Linked DNA regions of Saccharomyces cerevisiae S288C. The gene in region 2 interacts genetically with the main gene of each other region. Each region holds a gene or a part of one and is shown on either strand. Other genes may lie near its edges.

Region 1 (2,977 bases), on a different chromosome or scaffold from region 2:
CCTAGCACAGTATAAACTTGTCAACATAAACTGCTAACTGCAATTATAATCCCTTGCTATTTTAATTACCCAAACCTGTGGTGAAGGTCCGAATGAGCGGTGAAGAGAAAAAGCGTCGTGATTGGTTCAATATTGATGTCGATTACCCGGCCAATGAGGCTCGCTCGATGGGACACCTCTATGATAATAGTTGTCGCCACAGCCATTCTGAATTATATTTATCTTTTATCTACGTATGTGCCATTGTCACAGCACATTTCTAATTCTGTGTGAGGAACTAATTTAGCCATGGACAGTTTCTCATGCGTGGAAGACCTGTTATGCTGTATAGTACTGCGCCGCGTTAAAAAATATTCATGCTTGTAGAGTAGAATATTCCTATCTTTACCGGACCGTATTTCATCTGGGAGTTGCAGTTGCGTCACAACACAGTTTATGGCTATTTTATTTTGAAAATTAAGCATATATGACATAATTAGAGCACTCCTATGTGGGAATTCTTACACTTTTAATGTAGAATCTCTTGGTGATTGTTACTATCAGTTGTGTTTTGGCCCTACTATTGTAATTCCCTTATAGTGTTCACCAGCTCTTGAATGTACTTTCCTTCTTCAGGATCAACGGTTGGTCCATTTGGATTTCTAATTGCGCTGCTACTATGCATGTTGTTGCTTGTAGCTTCATCTCCGACGGATTTTCCTGTTGGTGATGGCGTTCTAGTCATCATGGCAGCAGCGGTTGCGACCGCCACTTCACGACGTTGTTCCTCTTCTATTTTAGCATTGCGGTCCCTCAAGACTTGAAGTAGTTTACTATGTGCTTGCCTTAATTGCATCAGTTTGTTCTCGAACCCTGGAGGAAACTGATCATACAATTCTGTTGCCTGCGCCTGTCTTTTAACGTCATCTAGGGCATCTATTTCTCTCCACAAATAGTCTTGTCTGTCGATTATAGGCCGTACTTCCAGTCTGTTATGTGTCTGTAGCGGTATATCTACGCTATTTCTCCGGAATTTGGCAACTCCGTTATAGCTAACACTATCGGTATCTATTGTGTCATTACCAACTGTGTTAGCACTTGAACGGTTATAATAGTTATTGAATAGACTCCTTGTCGAAGGAATTTGGGAAGAATAAGATGGCCTAAATCCTGAATTTCTAATATAGGGATTTACATTTGGTATTGTCCTGGGAAGGTCATGGATGCTGTCCTCCCCATACCGTTCATCGTCTTCATTCGTGATTTGCCTTCGTACTGAGCTTTTTTTCTGGAGATCTTTCATGAAGATAGTGAATTGTAAATTTTTGGTTAGGTTTTTCAAAAACAATGTCAATTACATGTCAGCGAAGGCCAGGTAGTAGGTGTCCGTGGCTATTGATTATCTTGATATCCGAACTTGAGACCACTTCGCGGCTACTAAATTTATGAACTAAAAATGAAAATTTCAACTTTCCATTACCTCTTCGCTTTAAACCAATTTAAAGGTACAATCACACTTTAAGTATTGTTGTTAGACGGTGGTGAATATAATCAGAGGCATCCAAACTTTCTGTTGCAGGTCCATTATCCTCTCAATTTTCGTATGACCTTAAAGAGACTTCATAGTTTATATTTGGTTATTTTCAATAGGTACAATGACAAGATCTCCCTGGAAGCGCCTACTATGGTTGAAACAGGAGTACCCAGATAATTATACAGATCCAAGTTTTATTGAGTTGAGAGCAAGACAAAAGGCTGAGAGTAACCAGAAGTCTGATAGAAAATTATCAGAAGCTGCTCGCGCTCAAATTAGGTTGGATTTTATAAGTTTCTACCAAACCATATTGAACACTTCTTTCATTTACATCACTTTTACATATATTTACTATTATGGCTTCGATCCTATTCCGCCAACTATTTTCCTTTCATTTATAACATTGATTATATCAAGGACGAAAGTCGACCCTCTATTGTCCTCATTCATGGACGTAAAGTCTTCGCTGATTATCACATTTGCAATGTTGACTCTCTCTCCAGTCCTCAAATCTCTTTCTAAAACAACTGCATCTGATTCCATATGGACATTGTCTTTTTGGCTGACCCTATGGTACATTTTCGTTATTTCGTCAACAAAGTCCAAAGATAAACCCTCTAACCTTTCCACCAATATACTTGTCGCCCTTGTTGCTGTCCTATCATCGAGGCTTTCGACCACAATCGACGTATTCTGTTTTCTTTTAATTTGTATTCAGTTGAATATCATTCTACCCACTTATTTATCGGTGACGAATAAGGTAGTACCAATAATTTCAAATATTATTGTATACTCATTTTTGAATGTTGCTCTAGGTTGGATTTATATGCTGTTGATTTTCTTTGCTTCAGTATTTTATATTACTGTTTTACCTAAGTGGTTCATCTACTGGAAAATCAATTATCATAAACGGGATAACGATCTACTAAGTACATGGGATGCAAGAACACCAATATTGGATTAGCGCAATCAAGAACATGATTTCCTTCGGATAAGCAAGGGAGGGGTACGACTTCTGCCCGCAGGGGCTTATTGCCTGTCCTCTTCCTCGACCCCACGGTATTTCATTATATATAGAGTCACTGTAATAATAATTATCATGAAACCTGACAAGCAAAGGCGTCGGGCAATTACCAAAGGGCAGTTCGGTCGATTAAGTTTGCTTCACTACAGATTATTCACATATCATACGACAACTTTAAAATTGAACATTCAGGAGATTTTTGAATGCATTGATGGGCCCTTGCACCTTAACCGGGTCCCAATATTAGAGAAACGCCCCCTTAAACTGAACACAAGACAATACTACCTGGCCAATAGGGTACAATTTGCGGCCGTGTTAAACAGGCGTTTCAGCGTCTACCGCTCCTAATTTAAAGTCACTTGTTTCTTGGTAGCAGCAGCTTCCTGTTTTCTTCTTTTTGGCACTTGGTTATGTGATAATATCACCCGGATGAGAAACCT
Region 2 (6,106 bases):
TCTAACAAACTAGATCCACCCAATCTGTTGGCTCCATGAACACCACCCGAAACTTCACCAGCAGCAAATATCCCATTAGATAGAACGCTTTCCGAATTTTTCTTAATTACCTGAGATTTCTCATTAATTTTCACACCACCCATTGTGAAATGAACAACTGGTGTAACTTCCCCAACATAAACAGTTGATTCAGTCGAAATATCTTTATCAAAGGCATTGATAATCAATGGCCTATCAAACGTATCCTTAGTATTAACATCGGAATAGCTCTTCAGTTCAGTTACCAGTTCAGAAGCTGTAGTTTGTAGGTCATATTGTCGGATCAGATCGTTGATTGACACTTTTTTGATTAAGTTTTTGGACATATAAAAGTTTATGTTATTCGTATAGTTCTCGTAGACTTTGTCGCTCATTACCAAAAGTGCTCTATTATCATTTTTCGGACATTTAGACTGTATTTCCATGGTTACTGTATCTCTGGTGCTCAATTCATTTGTAAACCTTCTTCCAGTGGTGGGATGCAATAAGATGCCGCCTAAACCCCTCAATGCCTCTGCAGCCAAAAACTTCCAGTTATTTTCACGGTCATTTGGATCAATGAAGCCGGTAGGGTGTACCTGCACTTGATCCATATCAATCAATTCGGCACCCAACTTTGAAAGGATTTTTTGACCATCACCTGTAGTCTGTTTGCCATTAGTAGTTGGCAAGTGAATCAAATTTGGTGAGTACTCTTTCAACATTTCCTTAGAGTAACCAAATCCACCTGAGCAAAACACGACATGGTGTGACTTCATGATTTTACGGTTTCCGTTCTCGTCCATATATACTACACCAGTAACATGACCTTGATTATCAAGCTCGATATCCACTACTTCACTGTTTAGCATAATCTGCACGAGATTGGAATCTTTGGAAGAGATATCCTTTAGTTTTTTTGATAACGCTTGCACGATTTCAAAACCTGGTGGTAATTTGCCAGAAGATCTATGGGTCCTTGGAACAGAGTGACCGCCCAATTGCGCAAGGAGGTCTAATTTCAAATCGAATTCTGTTTGCAACCACCTGATAGCACTCTTGGATTCCTTAGTCAACTTATCCATCAGTGATGGAACCCCTCTGCCTTTAGCCGAATGCAAAGTATCTTTCAAAAACAATTCGGGAGTGTCCATTACCTTTAAATTTTGTTGAGTGTCTGTGTGAGCACCATTAATACCACTAGAAGCCTTTATAGAATTCCCACCAATAGAAGCCGCCTTATCCAAAAGCACAACAGGAATTCTGTATTTACTAATGAGACGATTACTTGTGGTTAAGCCTGCCAAACCAGAGCCAATGACCACCACTGGTTGTTTCATTGACGTTTGATCTGTGCCACTTAATGTTCTTTTCAAAACTATTATCAATACGAATATTGAGACGTAAATGAAAACCCTTCTCACAGATCTAATCATTTTCCTAAGACTCGGGATGATATAGAATTATTAAGGTATTTCCTATCATAAAATCTTTCCCTTTTCGGCGGTTTTGTTTTAAATCTGGATTTCTAAGCAAAGGATTTTCGCTAGTTTTTTTTTTTCAAGTAGCTCGTAAAAAGAAAACGAGAGCTACTCCTGCATGATTCATATAAGATTTGACGAGTGTATAAGATACATTTGTATTGGTGTACATTATGAAATCTATGTAATCTACCTAAGCGTAAAAAGGAGATCTTGCCTTCGATAACTAGTACGGTGGAAGAATTACATTTAATAACGAACGGGACAATATGATATCATAGAAGAAAAAAAAATGAGTCCCGATCACTATTTTACTTCATATCTGCAGCTCGGACATGTTTGAAGATTATAATGCTTGTGATGGTCATTCGAAATAGTGCCTCTTCTAAATGTTTGAATAATTTTCCATAGCTAAAGGTTAAGTTCATCCATTAGTTTCTTTTTTCTTCTTTGCACTAACCAATGCTCCATATCTGCCAGAGTTGGTACATGGATTTCTTGTGTCTGCCTTGACATTTCTTCTTCATCTTCATTCACAGGCACATTATAATGTGCTTTCAAAATGGATGTCCAGTTAGCCTCAAATTCGGTTAAGGCGGCTGTGACTTTGCCATGGTAATAAAAATCATTTCTATCCTTCGGTATGCATTTGGTGTTTATAGAACCCCCATCATTCTGCCTTTGAGACTGCTTGAGCCATTCTTTTACTTCAGGCAATTCCAGGGCTCTTCCAAAATATCTCTTACCATTTATCAGCTTTCCTGAATTCATCAGCACATGACTGTCTTCTAACCTTTTCCTCTTGGTTTTTTTTTCCATAAGTGTATGGTCAATGTGCCACTGCCATCTCTTCCATTCTTTGAAAAGATTATTAAGTTCGTCGTTAAGTTCCGCAATCTGCATTTCATTTAAAGACGGATCATATATTCTTGTGCTTTTTTGTTTTATCTCTTTACTTACTTGTCGCTTCCATTCGTTGGCCTCTTTTATGGATTTTACCTTAGACACGTTCCTGGGCCTCTGGTAACGTGAATAATCCTTGTATCCACCTGCCGACTCTGCTTGCTGCTCTTGAAATCGTACCAGAACTGAGTTGGCCTTATCTACATTTCTACTCATTTTGAATGCACAGGTATCTGATTACTGATGTGGTGCGCCTTGCGATATAACGGTGTGTCACTTTTATTTGCTCTTTCATGCATCCTGAAATTATTTCACCGCACTACGCAAAGAGAACGGAGAAAAAGGTATAATAGGGCAAATGATCATTGACATCGTGATCGTAAGCCAAAAAAAAATACAATAGGCTCCCTAAATAAGTAGAGTAAAAGCTCTTGAGATGAAGGAGAATGACATGAATAATGGCGTAGATAAATGGGTAAATGAGGAAGATGGTCGAAATGATCATCATAACAACAATAATAACTTGATGAAGAAGGCCATGATGAACAATGAGCAAATTGATAGAACTCAGGATATCGACAACGCCAAAGAAATGTTGAGGAAAATATCAAGTGAAAGCAGCTCGCGCAGAAGCTCCCTGTTGAATAAAGATTCATCTCTCGTGAACGGCAATGCAAACAGTGGCGGTGGTACGAGCATTAACGGAACAAGAGGAAGTTCTAAGAGTAGTAATACACACTTTCAGTATGCCTCCACGGCGTATGGTGTAAGAATGTTGAGTAAAGATATATCTAATACCAAAGTGGAACTGGATGTGGAAAATTTGATGATTGTTACGAAACTCAACGATGTCTCACTGTATTTCTTAACAAGAGAGTTGGTAGAATGGGTTTTGGTACATTTTCCACGTGTGACTGTTTATGTGGATTCCGAATTGAAAAACAGCAAAAAATTTGCCGCTGGCGAGTTATGTGAAGATAGTAAATGTAGAGAATCAAGGATCAAGTATTGGACAAAGGATTTCATCAGGGAACATGATGTTTTCTTCGATTTGGTAGTGACTTTGGGTGGCGACGGTACTGTTCTTTTTGTAAGTTCCATTTTTCAGAGACATGTACCACCCGTTATGTCGTTTTCATTAGGGTCTCTAGGATTTTTAACAAATTTTAAGTTTGAACATTTCAGGGAGGATTTACCTCGGATTATGAATCATAAAATCAAGACAAATTTACGGTTGAGGTTGGAGTGCACAATTTATCGTAGACACCGCCCTGAAGTAGACCCAAACACGGGGAAGAAAATATGTGTGGTGGAAAAACTAAGCACACACCACATTTTGAACGAAGTGACCATCGATCGTGGTCCAAGTCCTTTTCTATCCATGTTAGAATTGTATGGTGACGGCTCATTAATGACCGTTGCGCAGGCGGACGGACTGATTGCTGCTACTCCGACTGGGTCCACGGCCTATTCTTTGAGTGCAGGTGGGTCATTGGTATGCCCAACCGTCAATGCAATCGCTTTAACACCCATTTGTCCACATGCATTGAGTTTCAGACCCATCATCTTACCAGAAAGTATAAATTTAAAAGTGAAAGTCTCGATGAAGTCAAGGGCTCCAGCATGGGCGGCTTTTGATGGGAAAGATAGAATTGAATTGCAAAAAGGTGATTTTATAACCATATGCGCCAGCCCATATGCTTTTCCAACCGTGGAAGCCTCGCCCGATGAGTTTATTAACAGTATCAGTCGACAACTAAACTGGAATGTGAGGGAACAACAAAAGTCCTTTACGCATATTTTGTCCCAAAAGAACCAAGAAAAATATGCACATGAGGCGAACAAAGTCAGAAATCAAGCAGAACCTTTAGAGGTAATAAGAGATAAATACTCTCTGGAAGCAGACGCTACTAAGGAAAACAACAACGGAAGCGATGATGAGAGCGACGATGAGAGTGTAAACTGCGAAGCTTGCAAATTAAAGCCTTCGAGCGTCCCAAAACCTTCTCAAGCAAGGTTTTCAGTATAATGTTACATGCGTACACGCGTTTGTACAGAAAAAAAAGAAAAATTTGAAATATAAATAACGTTCTTAATACTAACATAACTATTAAAAAAAATAAATAGGGACCTAGACTTCAGGTTGTCTAACTCCTTCCTTTTCGGTTAGAGCGGATGTGGGAGGAGGGCGTGAATGTAAGCGTGACATAACTAATTACATGATATCGACAAAGGAAAAGGGGCCTGTTTACTCACAGGCTTTTTTCAAGTAGGTAATTAAGTCGTTTCTGTCTTTTTCCTTCTTCAACCCACCAAAGGCCATCTTGGTACCAGGAATATATTTCTTTGGGTTAGTCAAGTACTCTGACATGTTATTTTCGTCCCACAACACGTTTTTCTTGATATTGGCATCTGTGTACGAATACCCTTCAGCTTGACCAGAGTGTCTGCCAAAGATACCATGCAAGTTTGGACCAACCTTATGTGGGCCACCCTTTTCCACGGTGTGGCATTGTAGACATCTAGTCTTGAAAAGTGTAGCACCTTTCTTAGCAGAACCGGCCTTGAATTCAGTCATTATTAATTTAGTGTGTGTATTTGTGTTTGTGTGTCTATAGAAGTATAGTAATTTATGCTGCAAAGGTCCTAATGTATAAGGAAAGAATATTTAGAGAAAAGAAGAAAACAAGAGTTTTATATACATACAGAGCACATGCATGCCATATGATCATGTGTCGTCGCACACATATATATATGCCTGTATGTGTCAGCACTAAAGTTGCCTGGCCATCCACGCTATATATACACGCCTGGCGGATCTGCTCGAGGATTGCCTACGCGTGGGCTTGATCCACCAACCAACGCTCGCCAAATGAACTGGCGCTTTGGTCTTCTGCCATCGTCCGTAAACCCCGGCCAAAGAGACCGGAAAGATCGGTGAAAACATCTTGATCTTGCTCCCGGGAATTTTAGATTCAGGTAGGAAATTGATTACATCAATACTGTTACCCTGAATCATATTCGACGATGTCGTCTCACACGGAAATATAATTCATTTCTTGGTTTTCCAAAAAAATTTTCATTTTTTTTCACTTTTTTGTTTCGTCCTCCTTTTTTTTTTTTTTTTTTTATTTTTTTTCCTGTGTTCACCTTTTTTTTTTTCAGTTGACATCTTTCTGCATTCTTTTCTGTGTTTTTTTTTTTTTTTTTCGTTTTTCCATTGTTCGTTCGTTGCCTGTTTTTTCGCCCTATTGTTCTCGAGCCTAAAAATTTTTTCCTTTCCTGCTTTCCTTTCTTCGTTCAAAGTTTCCTATTCCATTGTTCTCTTTGGTAAACTCATTGTTGTCGGAACTCAGATATATTCAGGTCAATTTACTGTACTTCAATTGACTTTTTTCTTGAAATTTCAACTTGCCTTTTCAACTTGTTCTTCTTTTTTAATCTTATTCTACACTTTAGTTCCCTTACCTTGTTCCTAATTATTGTCTAGCAAAAAGAAAACATACACCTATTTCATTCACACACTAAAACATGTCTGACGAAGAACACACCTTTGAAAATGCTGACGCTGGTGCCTCCGCCACCTACCCAATGCAATGTTCTGCCTTGAGAAAGAATGGTTTCGTTGTCATCAAAGGTAGACCATGTAAGATTGTCGACATGTCCACTTCCAAGACCGGTAAGCACGGTCACGCCAAGGTCCA
Region 3 (6,075 bases), on a different chromosome or scaffold from region 2:
ATATATGATAGTAGATAACTTCCCCACTTTAACCCAATTTATCCCAGGTGAGAACGTTTCTTGTGAGTACTTCGTTTGCGGCATTATCAAAGGATTCCTTTTCAATGCTGGATTTCCATGTGGCGTGACAGCACATCGAATGCCCCAAGGCGGACATAGTCAACGAACCGTTTATTTGATCCAATTTGACAGGCAAGTGCTTGACAGGGAAGGTTTGAGATTTGGCTGATATCATCTCAAAACATCGGTAAATACCTAAAACCAAGAAAAGGATAAAGAGTTTGTATATTTACTGTTGATTTATAGACATATGCTCATATATTCATTACGAAGAATGATTCTTTTAATTGTCGATTTCCTTGAAGTACATCTATCATATAAAATCATTTTCTTTTTATATTTTGGAATGTTTTTGTGCTAAAAAAATCATTATTCTGGGCGACATACAGTAAAATAATATTTAATATGAAACAAAGCGTATCATTTTGTAGACACCGATATCACGTTTGAACAGGTGAATAAAAATGCTCTGAATCAAACTGACCCAGCGTACGTAATAAAGAATCCTGATCATTGCATACTTTCATAAACCAGCCTTTGAATTTACAATCTTGTAAATAGCCTTCCCAAGTTTTTGATATTGAATTATTATGCATGTCCATTTTTATATCCCCAGTGTTTGTGTGCAACTCAAAATCTTCATTCCATTTTATCCTCTTCATCACCAAATTCTCATAAAATTTGCATGATTTTTCGTTACCCACGACTATAATTATTCCTGGTCCGTCATCACGTATACGGAGGCATAAACCCTTTAGTGATAGTTCTTTACTATTCATTTTCAACTTGAATCTTATTTTTGGGTTCTGTAAGTTTTTGAACTGGAACACCTTACAATGGTATACTGTCGGCTTTTCAACGTTCATATTGACTGCTTCTTTCCTTCTTTTAATAGCATCTTCATGTCTTCTTTCGTTTTCTTCCAGATGTTTTCTCTTCCTGAGGTCCACTTGGTCTTTCACTACTTTTTCCCAGGCAGTTGGGTCCGTTATGTTTTGATCATTCTCGAAAACACTCATCATGTTGCTTAGTTTAACTTTCGGTTCAGGCTTAGGTAATAGTCCTAACTTAATTTTTATCTCCCGTGCTTCTCTTGCCATTTTCCTTCTATTTCTCCTTAATCTTTTCCTTTCATGTTGCGTTAGATATGCTTTGATTGATACTTTTGCCTCGTTGATCTTTTCAGGTAAGGGATGTGCTACATATCTTATAGATGGGTGCTCATCATCATCATCATCGTCTACTTCATCAATATCTTCTGCTAGCTTTTCTTCGGCAGGCGATGTGCCATTCATGTCATATTTTTCCATCAACTCACCCTTTTCATCTAAATAAGCCGTGTCCCACCATTCATAGCCATGATTATTATCATAGTATATCTTGAACTTTGACAAATCTAATAGGAACTTATCCTCATGTAACTCTAAATTGGGTAAATCACCTGACTCAATTAATTTTCTTTTATCTTTCTCGTCTTCTTCTTGTTTTAACTTTCTTTTTAATTCTTCCTCCTCCTGCTGTTTTTGTAATGTTCTTTCTTGGGCAATTCTTTTACTGATTTCTCCCTTTTGGTAAAACTTCAGACCCCGTTCATAACGCCTGTTAAATCTGCTCGATGAGCCTCGATCGTGTGGATCACTAAGATAGGGATTTTCACCAGTTTGATAAGTTCTTCGGATAAGATTCAAATTTGAAGACTTTAACGCTGAGTGAAGTTCGGTTTTCAGACCATGGCCCTGAAACTTCTCCTCATCATTGGTAGTTTCTTCACGCCGTAAGAAACTTGGCTTATAATATGGACTATTTTGGCGTTTCGGATTACCTTTTTCATAGGTATTTCTTGGGGGCATTTTTTCAAGCCAATTCAATAGATCGCCTGATGTTTTCTGTGAGTCTTTTTGATTGTTTTACGTCATCTGGCATTCTAATACTTTACTAGGACTATTTCTTGTTATTGATCAGTGCGGGATCCAGTCAGAAAAACGCAGATGTGAATAATATTAAAATTTGTATGCTAAAAAAATTAACATAGTCAAGAAACTTTCTTTGAGTCATGGCTCTTTACTTTAGAACATATAAGAACAATTCACAGTGCCTGTCCAGAGGCCAAAAGCAGTATCTCTAGCTAAATGGATATGTTAACTACTGTTTCATTGGAGAAGCAGTTTTTAACCTTCCTGTTTCGCGAATATAGCTGCCAAGTATTATCCAAAATTGGGGAGTGAAGAAAAAGTAATTATCAGCATTCATTTTCGAGAATTTTACCTAAACTTTTTCGATAACATTGATTGTTCACTACGTTACATAGCAAGCCAGAGCTAGAAAAACTTATTGATTACAATCAATAGACTTGCATCATACATAACTTCAGGGTACTTGCAAGAATTTTCCTACAAAAAAAGTTGACTACGACAACCTAAAGGAGAACAACAGATTTTGTCACCTCTCGTACTAGATAATTACCAAAAAAATGCTACCGAAAAGGAGATAAAACACATCTAGAACATAGTAGTATCATGTCATGGCTTTTTCAAATCTAAAATCTGTTCCCTGCAGTTGTCATTTTCTCTTAGTCGTCATTGATATTGTTAAAAAGTTCCGGAATACTATTGTTAGGTCGTATTCTTAAATGAATAAGCTGTCAAAAAATGGAGTAGTATGGCAGTAAATTTGGGAAGCACAAAAGAAAAAATAAAATTTCTTGATGAATGTGCCTTTCACGAATGTGACTTCTCTTCCATAAATCCTGTTTCTCATCAATGAGCAGCTTCTTCCTCCAAAGATAACTGTTGAACCCTATAATTGTGACAGGTCAAAGAAGCCAATATAATGAAAAAGATAGCCAGTATCTATATTTGAACCATTTTAAGGATTTCACTGAATTGCAACGATACTGTCTTGTTTCGTGGACCTTGCACTTCGTAGATTCATCATGTTCTATACGTTTTTCATTTCCGCATTCTAAACCCAAAAGACAAGGGTTACAGCGTATGTTACGACACAATTCAATTCACCATTCCTAAGAAGTTAATATTGCAATATTTTTGCAACAATAACAACCGCATTGCTTTGAAAGTAATTGCAATAACTATGGATAAAGATCCATTATCTTGACTGGTGCTACTTTCAAAGGAGGTATACCTAATAATATAAAGCTTTGAAAGAATTGACGTGATACTAACCTTGTACATTGATTCTCATTTTAACGATTTTACAAACTCACTTAGCACGCATTATTGCCGGAAATACGAATAGGAACCCAGCTTATAATGAACACTGTCCACATTTCTTTTAGGTGAGAATGCGATGATGGAATTGCAGCATTATTAATTACTAGTGTAGGGTATTGAATGTCATTTTTGTCGATTAATATGTACAATACATGTTATGCATAAAGGCACAAAGTCATAAAAATGTTATAGAATTATATCGAATAAACACATAAGAACGTAAGACCAACTACAGCCTTCCGAACCCAAACAATCCGCCACGCTTAGGCGTATTTTTACTCTCATCTTCCTTTCTGAAAGATGACGGGGATCTCGATTTACTCTTAAAAAAAGAGAATAAACCACCACCGCCTGAGCTTGGTTTCAAGTGTGCTGAAGTTACGACCGGTTTTTTAATACGTTTACCAGAGTTCGAATCATTAGATTTTACTTTTCTGAGCGAAGATGAGCTACTGACTTTCCTCAAAGATGAATCCTTATTACCAGAACTCACACTATATGACTTTGAAGGTGCCAAATGGGGAAGGCCTGGAACGGACAACTGATCTGTGTCACGATGATGGTGATGATGATGTTGTTGTTGCTGGTCCCCTGGGCTGTCTAGCGAGTGCCTAGATTTAATAGCACCCAGTGCAGCATTACCATCTACATTCTTGACACTCGACGCGAACTTGATTTGCGGAGAACGTGATCTCGACGCACTCGCACTTGAGTTTATATCGGTAGCAGTAGGAGAGCTTGGTTTTGATTTGTCTCTTATCCTTGACTTAGAGCTTGATCTTGACTTGGATTTGGATCTAGATGAACTTGGATTGTCCAAAACATCAAGCATGGACCTCTGCGGGGTAGCCACATGCCTTGGAGGAGCACCACCTGTGATGACTCTTTTCAGTTCTTCAAAGCCCGACTCCATAGAGTGTGCTCTCTTTTCGTCTACATCCCCATTTTCAATACTATCAGTGATGCTATCGATTTCTAATGAAAACTTTAATGAAGATTCCAAAATAATATTCAGTTTTTTCAAATGCCTCTGTCCCGGTGGTATTGATGAATCATGATCGGCGTCATTTAACTGCTGAGCCATACTCTTTCTACGTTTCCTTGCCATGGTACATAACTTTTCCTTTACCGAAATGTTAGAGGTTAAGGATTTCACGGACATCACATCATTCTCATCATCCTTAAAAGCGTTAAGCTCATCATCAGATGCTTCCTCTCGGCTACTATTGTTAGCACCATTAGCTTCTGGGGCATAACATAGTGAATCTATAGAATAATCGTTATCTTGCTTCCGTTTGATATTTGAGATAGTTGGAATGCTAGCATCTGCTGATTTAGAATGGCTGAACCCAGGCTTTGGACCGCTAGTATTTTTTTGTTTCGTTACCTCCGGTTCTTTAAACTCTTTTTGCAAATCTATTTCCAAATCGAACATTCTCTTTGCCGGTACAATAAACGTTGGAATCGGAAAATTAGTACACAGTTTATCTGTCAGAAAGTTCGATTTCCAACGAACTAAGCTGTCTGTTCTCTCCCACCTCAAAGTGCTAGATACAAAGAAATCAGGTAAATAGATGTTTATTGCCTCAAGAAGCGTTTTTTTAGTCTTGCCAATTAGGATCTCGACAGTGACCTTGACAGAACGATCTTGCGGAATTATGAGTGTAACATAATCAAAAAGATCTTGCAATTTACGTTCTATTTCGTTCTGCGTATAACCAGATGTCCACTCGATAAAATTTTGGTGCTTTAATTTGTTGTCAGATTCCTCAGGCCCCAGAGAAAGTGCCCTTCTTGTACATATGGATCGTGATCTCGATCTGGATCGTGATCTTCTTGCTGAGCTAACACTCCTGCTATCATCCATCATCATTAGCATTCTTTTTCGCTCACTCATCGAATCATTGTCTTCGAAATTATTCTTAGTCAGGCGGGGCAGGTTTGCCAACACAACAATGTGGTCTGTATTTTGAATCAAAGTTCGTAGCGCCCAATCTAGTGCTACCCAAGTATGTTTCCTGCCGCTGATGTGGCACAATATCGTTCGAGGAGTGTTCGGGAACCCAACCTTTTCGCTCAAAACACGCTCTTTCCGCTTTTGAGACTTAGTCAAAGGCGTAAAGCCGTCTTCTATGGGAGGATTGAATTTTATTGTGGGAGTAGCGCCCTCAGACGACTTTTTTTTGTTTGGAGGAAACAGTATTGTTGGGTAATTGAAGAAATCGCGCTTTTGTTCTAATCGATGATCTATCTGATTTTTCTTCTTGATCCATAGTTGTCTCCAATTGGCATACGCCCTACTAATCACAAGAGCGTCATTGATATCGGTGGGTGTAGTAGGATAGTCTTCCCTTACAATTTTACCATTTTCAGAAATCTTAAACATCTTACCTATTTTGATGTTTCTTTTAGAGGCAGGAGGTGGAGAAGAATACCTGCCGGGACTAGCACTGCCCTCTCGCCTACTCGAATAGCTATTCCCGGAGAAGTAGTCGGCATTGTTGTCCGAGGTAAAGCCACTTTCGTCGTCATAATATTCCTCCATTGTATAATCTGCAGAGATCTGCACGCCAGGAAATTCTCTTTTCTCTTCATCTAAGGGCGAAGATACCCTTGATCTGGGAACTGTGTTGAAAGATACGCATGGTAGGTACTTTTCGTTGCTGCCTTTCCCCTTCTTTTTGACGGAACTGCTCGAGTCCAATATCGAGGCTAGACTGCGCCTGTCATCATTGTTGGACTTGTCCTCGTCCTGCTTAGCGAGTATGTCCACCGTATCCTCCAG
Region 4 (6,468 bases), on a different chromosome or scaffold from region 2:
TTAATTATGAGACTAATGTCTTCGGGAGGTCCCTTTTCCGATTTTCCGACTCTTTTCCGTTGAAGAATGTACTTGTGGTTTTGAATCCTACGGCAGTTATTGCGGCGGTTTGGCCCTTTCTTTCAAAGATTGTGATGGAAATAATTGATTGTTCCGGGAAATGTGTCTTATTTTCTAAAAGCATCTTTTTTTCTCTCCAATTCTTCGAGCTATTTCCAGTAAAGGAAAAAAAAGGTTTGCTGTAAGGGTGAATATGTCTCCAACCTCTTTGAGGTACTGCGTTGCTTCATTCACCATTTAATATAAATAGTACATTGGCAGCCCTCTTTCAAACGTCAATTATTCTCGCTTGCCTAACTTTGTTCGGACCGAAATTATAAAGGCATTCAATCAGTAACAATAATTGCTATTGCATAACTATACCCTCTGCTAAATAAAATAAAATGTCCGTTTCCAAGATTGCTTTCGTTTTAAGTGCCATTGCCTCTTTGGCCGTCGCTGACACCAGCGCCGCCGAAACTGCTGAATTGCAAGCTATTATCGGTGACATCAACTCTCATCTTTCTGACTACTTGGGTCTAGAAACTGGCAACAGTGGATTCCAAATTCCATCTGATGTCTTGAGTGTGTATCAACAAGTCATGACTTACACCGATGACGCTTACACTACCTTGTTTAGTGAATTGGACTTTGATGCTATCACTAAGACAATTGTTAAATTGCCATGGTACACCACAAGATTGAGTTCTGAAATCGCTGCTGCTCTTGCCTCCGTTTCCCCAGCTTCTTCCGAGGCTGCATCTTCTTCCGAGGCTGCATCTTCTTCCAAGGCTGCATCTTCTTCCGAAGCTACATCCTCTGCCGCTCCATCCTCTTCTGCTGCCCCATCTTCTTCTGCTGCCCCATCATCATCTGCCGAATCATCTTCTAAGGCCGTTTCTTCTTCTGTCGCTCCAACTACCTCTTCTGTCAGCACTTCTACAGTCGAAACTGCTTCCAATGCCGGTCAAAGAGTCAATGCAGGCGCTGCCTCTTTCGGTGCTGTTGTTGCAGGTGCAGCTGCTTTATTGTTATAAAAGGGAACCTTTTACAACAAATATTTGAAAAATTACCTCCATTATTATACCTTCTCTTTATGTAATTGTTAGTTCGAAAATTTTTTCTTCATTAATATAATCAACTTCTAAAACTTTCTAAAAACGTTCTCTTTTTCGAGATTAGTGCTTCTTCCCAATCCGTAAGAAATGTTTCCTTTCTTGACAATTGGCACCAGCTGGCTACTCGTTGCTCGAAAACTACTCTCTTTTATTTTTAATTTACGAACGATTATCTTTCGAAGGAACGACCAAACGAGCTAAATATGGGCATCGCCAACGTTAAAAAAATGGACCCTACCGAAGACGTTATTATGCCAAGGCGCAGCGAAGAGTCTTTCTCCTTGAGAAAAAATATGCATGAAACAAAATAGACAGGACCAGACCCTCTTCGGGAAAAAAAGTCAAGATTTAACACGTGGCTACACCGGCTGGCTTACAACCAACCAACATAAGATCAAACAACCCTCAAGTTTAGAAAATGCCTTAATAGCAACCTCTAAAACCATAGACTTCTCCATTTTCACGTGCTAAAAAAGTTCGGGTATGATGTCATACAAATCCTTTCAACAAAAGATGCTTCAAGATCAATGGCACTCGAGATCATAAATCCCTGCAGAGCAGCGGCTCTGCATATAGAATAACAAACAAATCGTATTTTTCCCGAAGCCAAGAAAAAAAGGAGACTATAACCTTTCAAGCCAGACGGAAAACTATCTGCCCAAGGACAAACTGGCATGGGCTGCTTCAATGTTCGGCTACCTTTTTTCTCTTTTAACGGGGTTTGGTATTTTTTTTCTTTACTTCATAAACGAATGTTAAACGACTGTGAAAAAGCCATCCCTGGATTATGCGAGAGTACTCTCAGGGCACCCGTCCGTTTAAAGACCCCAGGCCAAAATAAAAATTTCTTGAAGGAAAAAAATACACAGGGCCTTGAACTGAATACAAAGCCATCTTTTTTCTCGTTTGTCAGCACGTCCCAGAAAAACGCGCAGCCGTAGCTCTTGATAAGTGGCTTCTGCGTTTTGCAACGCTTTTCTGATCTCATGTTTTCTTATGCTGCGGGACATCATTGTCGTTGAGAAAAGTTTCAATTTCAAACGAACTGCCTACCGTTGCATTCTCCTTGGAGAAGGGCCTGAGTTTAGGGGAATCACGTCTGGCTATTACATGCTACATCGTGCAGTAGCTCCTACATCGCTAACAGGCAAATCCTACACCCTCTTTAAATCGTTTATCTTTTATATATTATCTGGCCTAAATTTTTACATATAAATATTTATCATATTATGACAGCTCAAATGAATTTCCGGCACCAAGTCATATGAGCACTCGCTACTGTTCGAAGAACAAAAAATATAAAGCTTCTACAAAATTTCCAGATGTCCATAGGTTACAAAGACAACTTGATGTCAACTATTCTAGCTAAAGATAGGAAATGTGAATTTCCCATCAATTTCGAATGTTCGCCCTCCCAGATAACTCTTATGCCTGAAATGTTCTCTTTTAACAATGAAAGGAAATACCAAACCCTGATACCCTTGATGAAAACATCACATCTAATTGATGATGACTTGAAAGATAAATTGAATAAGTGCGCTTTCGATTTTTTCTCCGGAAAACAAGCGAACAGAACGAGTGACGGGACTATTTCAAGATTAACAGCAAGTGGAAAAACGTCACCGATACTGCCATTGCAAAATATTAATATTGTAAAAGCAGAGAATACCGGTAACGGTAAATCAGATCCATATAGCTCAATTAAAATAAGCAAACCGACAAAAACCGTGATAAAATTGAAATCTACGAAAACCAATACAGCAGGACAGAGGACTCGTCATTTCTGTAAGATCTGCTCTACTGGGTTCACCACTTCTGGTCATCTTTCAAGACATAACAGAATCCATACAGGTGAAAAAAATCATATCTGTCCGCATGAGGGCTGTGGACAGAGGTTTAGTAGACATGATAACTGTAATCAGCATTATCGAACTCATGCAAACAAGAAGAAAAGAAACTGGAAGAGGAGGGAGGCTAGCAGTTGATGTGAGTGAGCTCAGCCAAAAACATTTAAATATTCAAATAACGTACAAATAAAAGACTGATAAATAGTAATAAAACTAAGCGGGTTAGTAATACTCACCAAGAACAATAGCAGGAACGATAGTCGGTTCTCTTTCGTAATTTTTTTAAGTCACAACCCGGAGGGACGTGAAGTTTCAAACCTTATTCATTCCGGGATTACCCTCTCCTGTGATGACGTTTAGGCAATAAGGACTAAAAAAAAAAAAAAGAAATGCTATGGCAAATTTTATTGATAGAAGTGGTAATGATGATGGAAGGGCTTTTGAGCAGGTGAATAGAAGGTAGCTAACGGAAAAGAGTTATTGCACCCTTAATATAATGAATGATGAAATTAATGAGCCACCGCCCAATATATGTGAGCAGTGCTTAGGTGATGAGGCTAATATACGAATGACTAAAATTCCACAAGGCTCTGAATGTAAGATTTGTACCTTACCGTTCACCTTATACCATTTTAAGACGTCTAAACGAAGCAATAATATCATTAAAACATTAATATGTGTACGGTGCGCCACTCAGAGAAACATTTGTCAATGCTGTATGCTTGATTCAAGATGGCACATCCCTATACAACTGCGGGATCATTTAATATCCCTTGTGAACGAGGAAAACGTTATGACGGAGGAAGCAAAAAACGACATGATGAAAAGGTTTCTGTCACTAAAAAACGTGAAATTAGGAGGAGCTCAGATTACGAGTGATCCGTCAGAAGCAGATAATATCGTTGATAAATTGAAAAATATACTTCTGCGAGCAACATCAGATGGCCCAAGTACTCCGTTAATAAAAAACACAACTGCATTGTATAAAAATGAAAAAGGTGCAAATGAGGTCAAAAACTTGGAAAAGTACGCGTCCGTGGACATTTCTCATATTTTGAAGAAACTACCCTTGAATGAATCGTTTTTAAAAAACCCCTCCACCAAATCATTTTTTCTGTATAATATTGATGCCTCGATCCCTGAATGGAAAATAACTGATACAGTTTCGCAATTATTGGGTATAAAGAAATGGAAGGATGGAAATTCATTGTCATTAATAGTCAACCACAAGGCGAAGTGTGGTGGCCTAAGATTTCAATCTAGTGAATTGGGGGAGCGGTTTGTCAGTAAAATAAGTGAGACACTTGTCACACCAAAGGGCCTAAAGAGAGGAGTTTTACTTATTGACCGTTTTAGAATCTTTATCATTCCGTGGTCGTCTGGCTTTTCAGCTGCGTCATTCGGAACCAACACTGCAGAAAATATAAAACTTAGTTTAAGTTTGAATAAGCTTATTCAGTTGGAGCTAGGGCTTTCTTTTCCTACAAAAAGCACAGATAACGCAAAGAATGACAAGAAAAAGACATCAAAAAAAGTTCATAAGGACAGATCAAAGAAATCGAAACCTCGCGCTAACAAGTTAACAATATAGATGAAACGTAAGAAAAATCATGGGTTGAAGAAACGAACTGTTTGATCAATTTCGACCATCCATCTACCTTGCAAGTAATAAACAAAAGCAGGTTGAGTGGGGAACTTTATCTAAGTTGATCAGTATATCTGACAAATTTATACGGAATGCTGCAGTTTGGATTAGCACGAACATTTTATCTGTACGGTTTGTCGCTTTTAGCTGCTCGGGCTCTTCCTCTCGGTTACCGAGATGATAACTCGGCCGAATTTTGTAAGTACAAATAAAAAGAAAGTGACACAATTCTAAAAGTATCACTATAATTTATTATTTTGAGAAAGATAAGGTTCCATAGGTACATGATATATTGACTGATTTCTGATAGCTCTTTTTTTTCCAATATCGATAAAAAACTAAAATATGGAGGAACTAGGTTTAAAAAGCACTTTTCCATATGAATATGGCTCAGACTTTACAATGATAAGAACGGAAATGTTAAATACTACGAAGAGCGAAACAACTATTTTATTTTCCAATATAAAGAGCATTTTGGCCATTATTTGGAAATACTCATTTACATTTTTAAGATCTTTTTCCGATTCCATCAAACTTATTATTGACGATGTTGTCACTATTGGCTCCCGAAATTTTGCAGAGAGATTACAGATTGAAGCGAAAAAAAACAATGACCAAGAAGATATCTGGGCATCCACAATAATTTTGGGTGTGATTATCGGGTATTTAATCTCTTCTATTAAGAGAAAGAACACTTTTCCAATAATGCCTACGAGCTCACCTAAAATAGATGATTGTAGGTTCAAGACTGGTGATACCATATCCATTGTAATAAACTTTAATGAAGACTGCCTCAATAATCGAAGTGACGTTACCGAAGAGAGAAATTATGAGGAATCCACAGTTTTACATTCAAAGGAGTCAGTTCTCAGCATTGGTAGGCAAAATATGGTAACTTTGAACCAAAGCGATGAAAATTTCACCTATGGCAATTTTGATGAGTACGACTTATTAACTAAAGATTATACAACAGAGGTCTTAACGCGATCACCTGGCTCGAATCCCGAGTTTAAAGCAGTGGTAAATAATACATTACTTGATAGCGCGAATGAAACGCCGTTTAAAGGTATTGAAAAAAGTATTAACGAAACAATGGTTAAAGTTCCTATGGGATGCGATGTATCTCTCTCCCATTATGGCAGACAATACGCGCCTGGAAATATTTCAATTATGAGAAGCTTCACTGCTCGAGATAATACTAAATCTGTGAGTAGAGAAATTCGTGATATCTGTAAATCGTTTTTGATTATAAAAAGCCAATTTGGTGACGAACTTTTCCTGACTATGTTCATGGAAAAACCAGTTTTCTTTGATAACAACATCCCAATTGAAATAACTGGAGCATACCGAGAAAAACGAGAGCGATTAGATGAAGTGATTCATAAGGATCTTATCCGCTATGATGAAGTTCAAAATTTGACAAGGATTCGCAATTTGCTCCGGGTTAAAAGTCAAAAGATTTGTTCCAGGAGACATAATAGTTCGGTTCCCACAAAAAAATTGTTAGTTAATGATAAAGGCGCAACTTCGATTCTACTGTGGTACTCTAACTATTCATAGATAAAGTTTATTTGATACATAATCCGGAAAATGTAAGATATGCCAACTGTTAACTAGAAAACATCTGTACTCTATATATCGGAAACAAAAACTTTACGGGTACAACCATGATGAATAAGCTCGAAATTTTTGCCTTCCATATGAGTCCCATTTTGGTGACCAACTCTCCTACCCGAATTACTGTGATGATATATACTCTTCGTTTTCTAGTAATGGCTTCATTTTGCCTAAGTTGGTCAAAATTGTTGTGGGCGGCTTT

What was found.
Region 1: mutations in ISY1 (region 2) and GPI2 together harm fitness more than expected from each alone (negative genetic interaction), as found in Saccharomyces cerevisiae (2 studies listed by BioGRID).
Region 3: mutations in ISY1 (region 2) and PRP3 together harm fitness more than expected from each alone (negative genetic interaction), as found in Saccharomyces cerevisiae (2 studies listed by BioGRID).
Region 4: mutations in ISY1 (region 2) and ECM2 together harm fitness more than expected from each alone (negative genetic interaction), as found in Saccharomyces cerevisiae (3 studies listed by BioGRID).

What each region holds. Positions count from the first base shown.
Region 1 is NC_001148.4:408,809-411,785, forward strand, and holds GPI2 (phosphatidylinositol N-acetylglucosaminyltransferase), read left to right. Parts: upstream 1-1,634; coding exon 1,635-2,477; downstream 2,478-2,977. Other genes in the region: YPL077C (uncharacterized protein), read right to left, coding at 560-1,282. UniProt on the Saccharomyces cerevisiae protein: Part of the complex catalyzing the transfer of N-acetylglucosamine from UDP-N-acetylglucosamine to phosphatidylinositol, the first step of GPI biosynthesis.
Region 2 is NC_001142.9:525,209-531,314, reverse strand, and holds ISY1 (Isy1p), read right to left. Parts: upstream 2,619-6,106; coding exon 1,911-2,618; downstream 1-1,910. Other genes in the region: OSM1 (fumarate reductase), read right to left, coding at 1-1,454; UTR1 (NADH/NAD(+) kinase), read left to right, coding at 2,839-4,431; CYC1 (cytochrome c), read right to left, coding at 4,651-4,980; ANB1 (translation elongation factor eIF-5A), read left to right, coding at 5,934-6,106. UniProt on the Saccharomyces cerevisiae protein: Involved in pre-mRNA splicing and cell cycle control.
Region 3 is NC_001136.10:1,403,945-1,410,019, forward strand, and holds PRP3 (U4/U6-U5 snRNP complex subunit PRP3), read right to left. Parts: upstream 1,911-6,075; coding exon 501-1,910; downstream 1-500. Other genes in the region: TRAPP subunit TRS31, read left to right, coding at 1-229; JIP4 (Jip4p), read right to left, coding at 3,520-6,075.
Region 4 is NC_001134.8:366,711-373,178, reverse strand, and holds ECM2 (Pre-mRNA-splicing factor ECM2), read left to right. Parts: upstream 1-3,500; coding exon 3,501-4,595; downstream 4,596-6,468. Other genes in the region: TIP1 (putative lipase), read left to right, coding at 444-1,076; NRG2 (Nrg2p), read left to right, coding at 2,480-3,142; CNM1 (Cnm1p), read left to right, coding at 4,995-6,209. UniProt on the Saccharomyces cerevisiae protein: Involved in pre-mRNA splicing. Facilitates the cooperative formation of U2/U6 helix II in association with stem II in the spliceosome. Binds to RNA.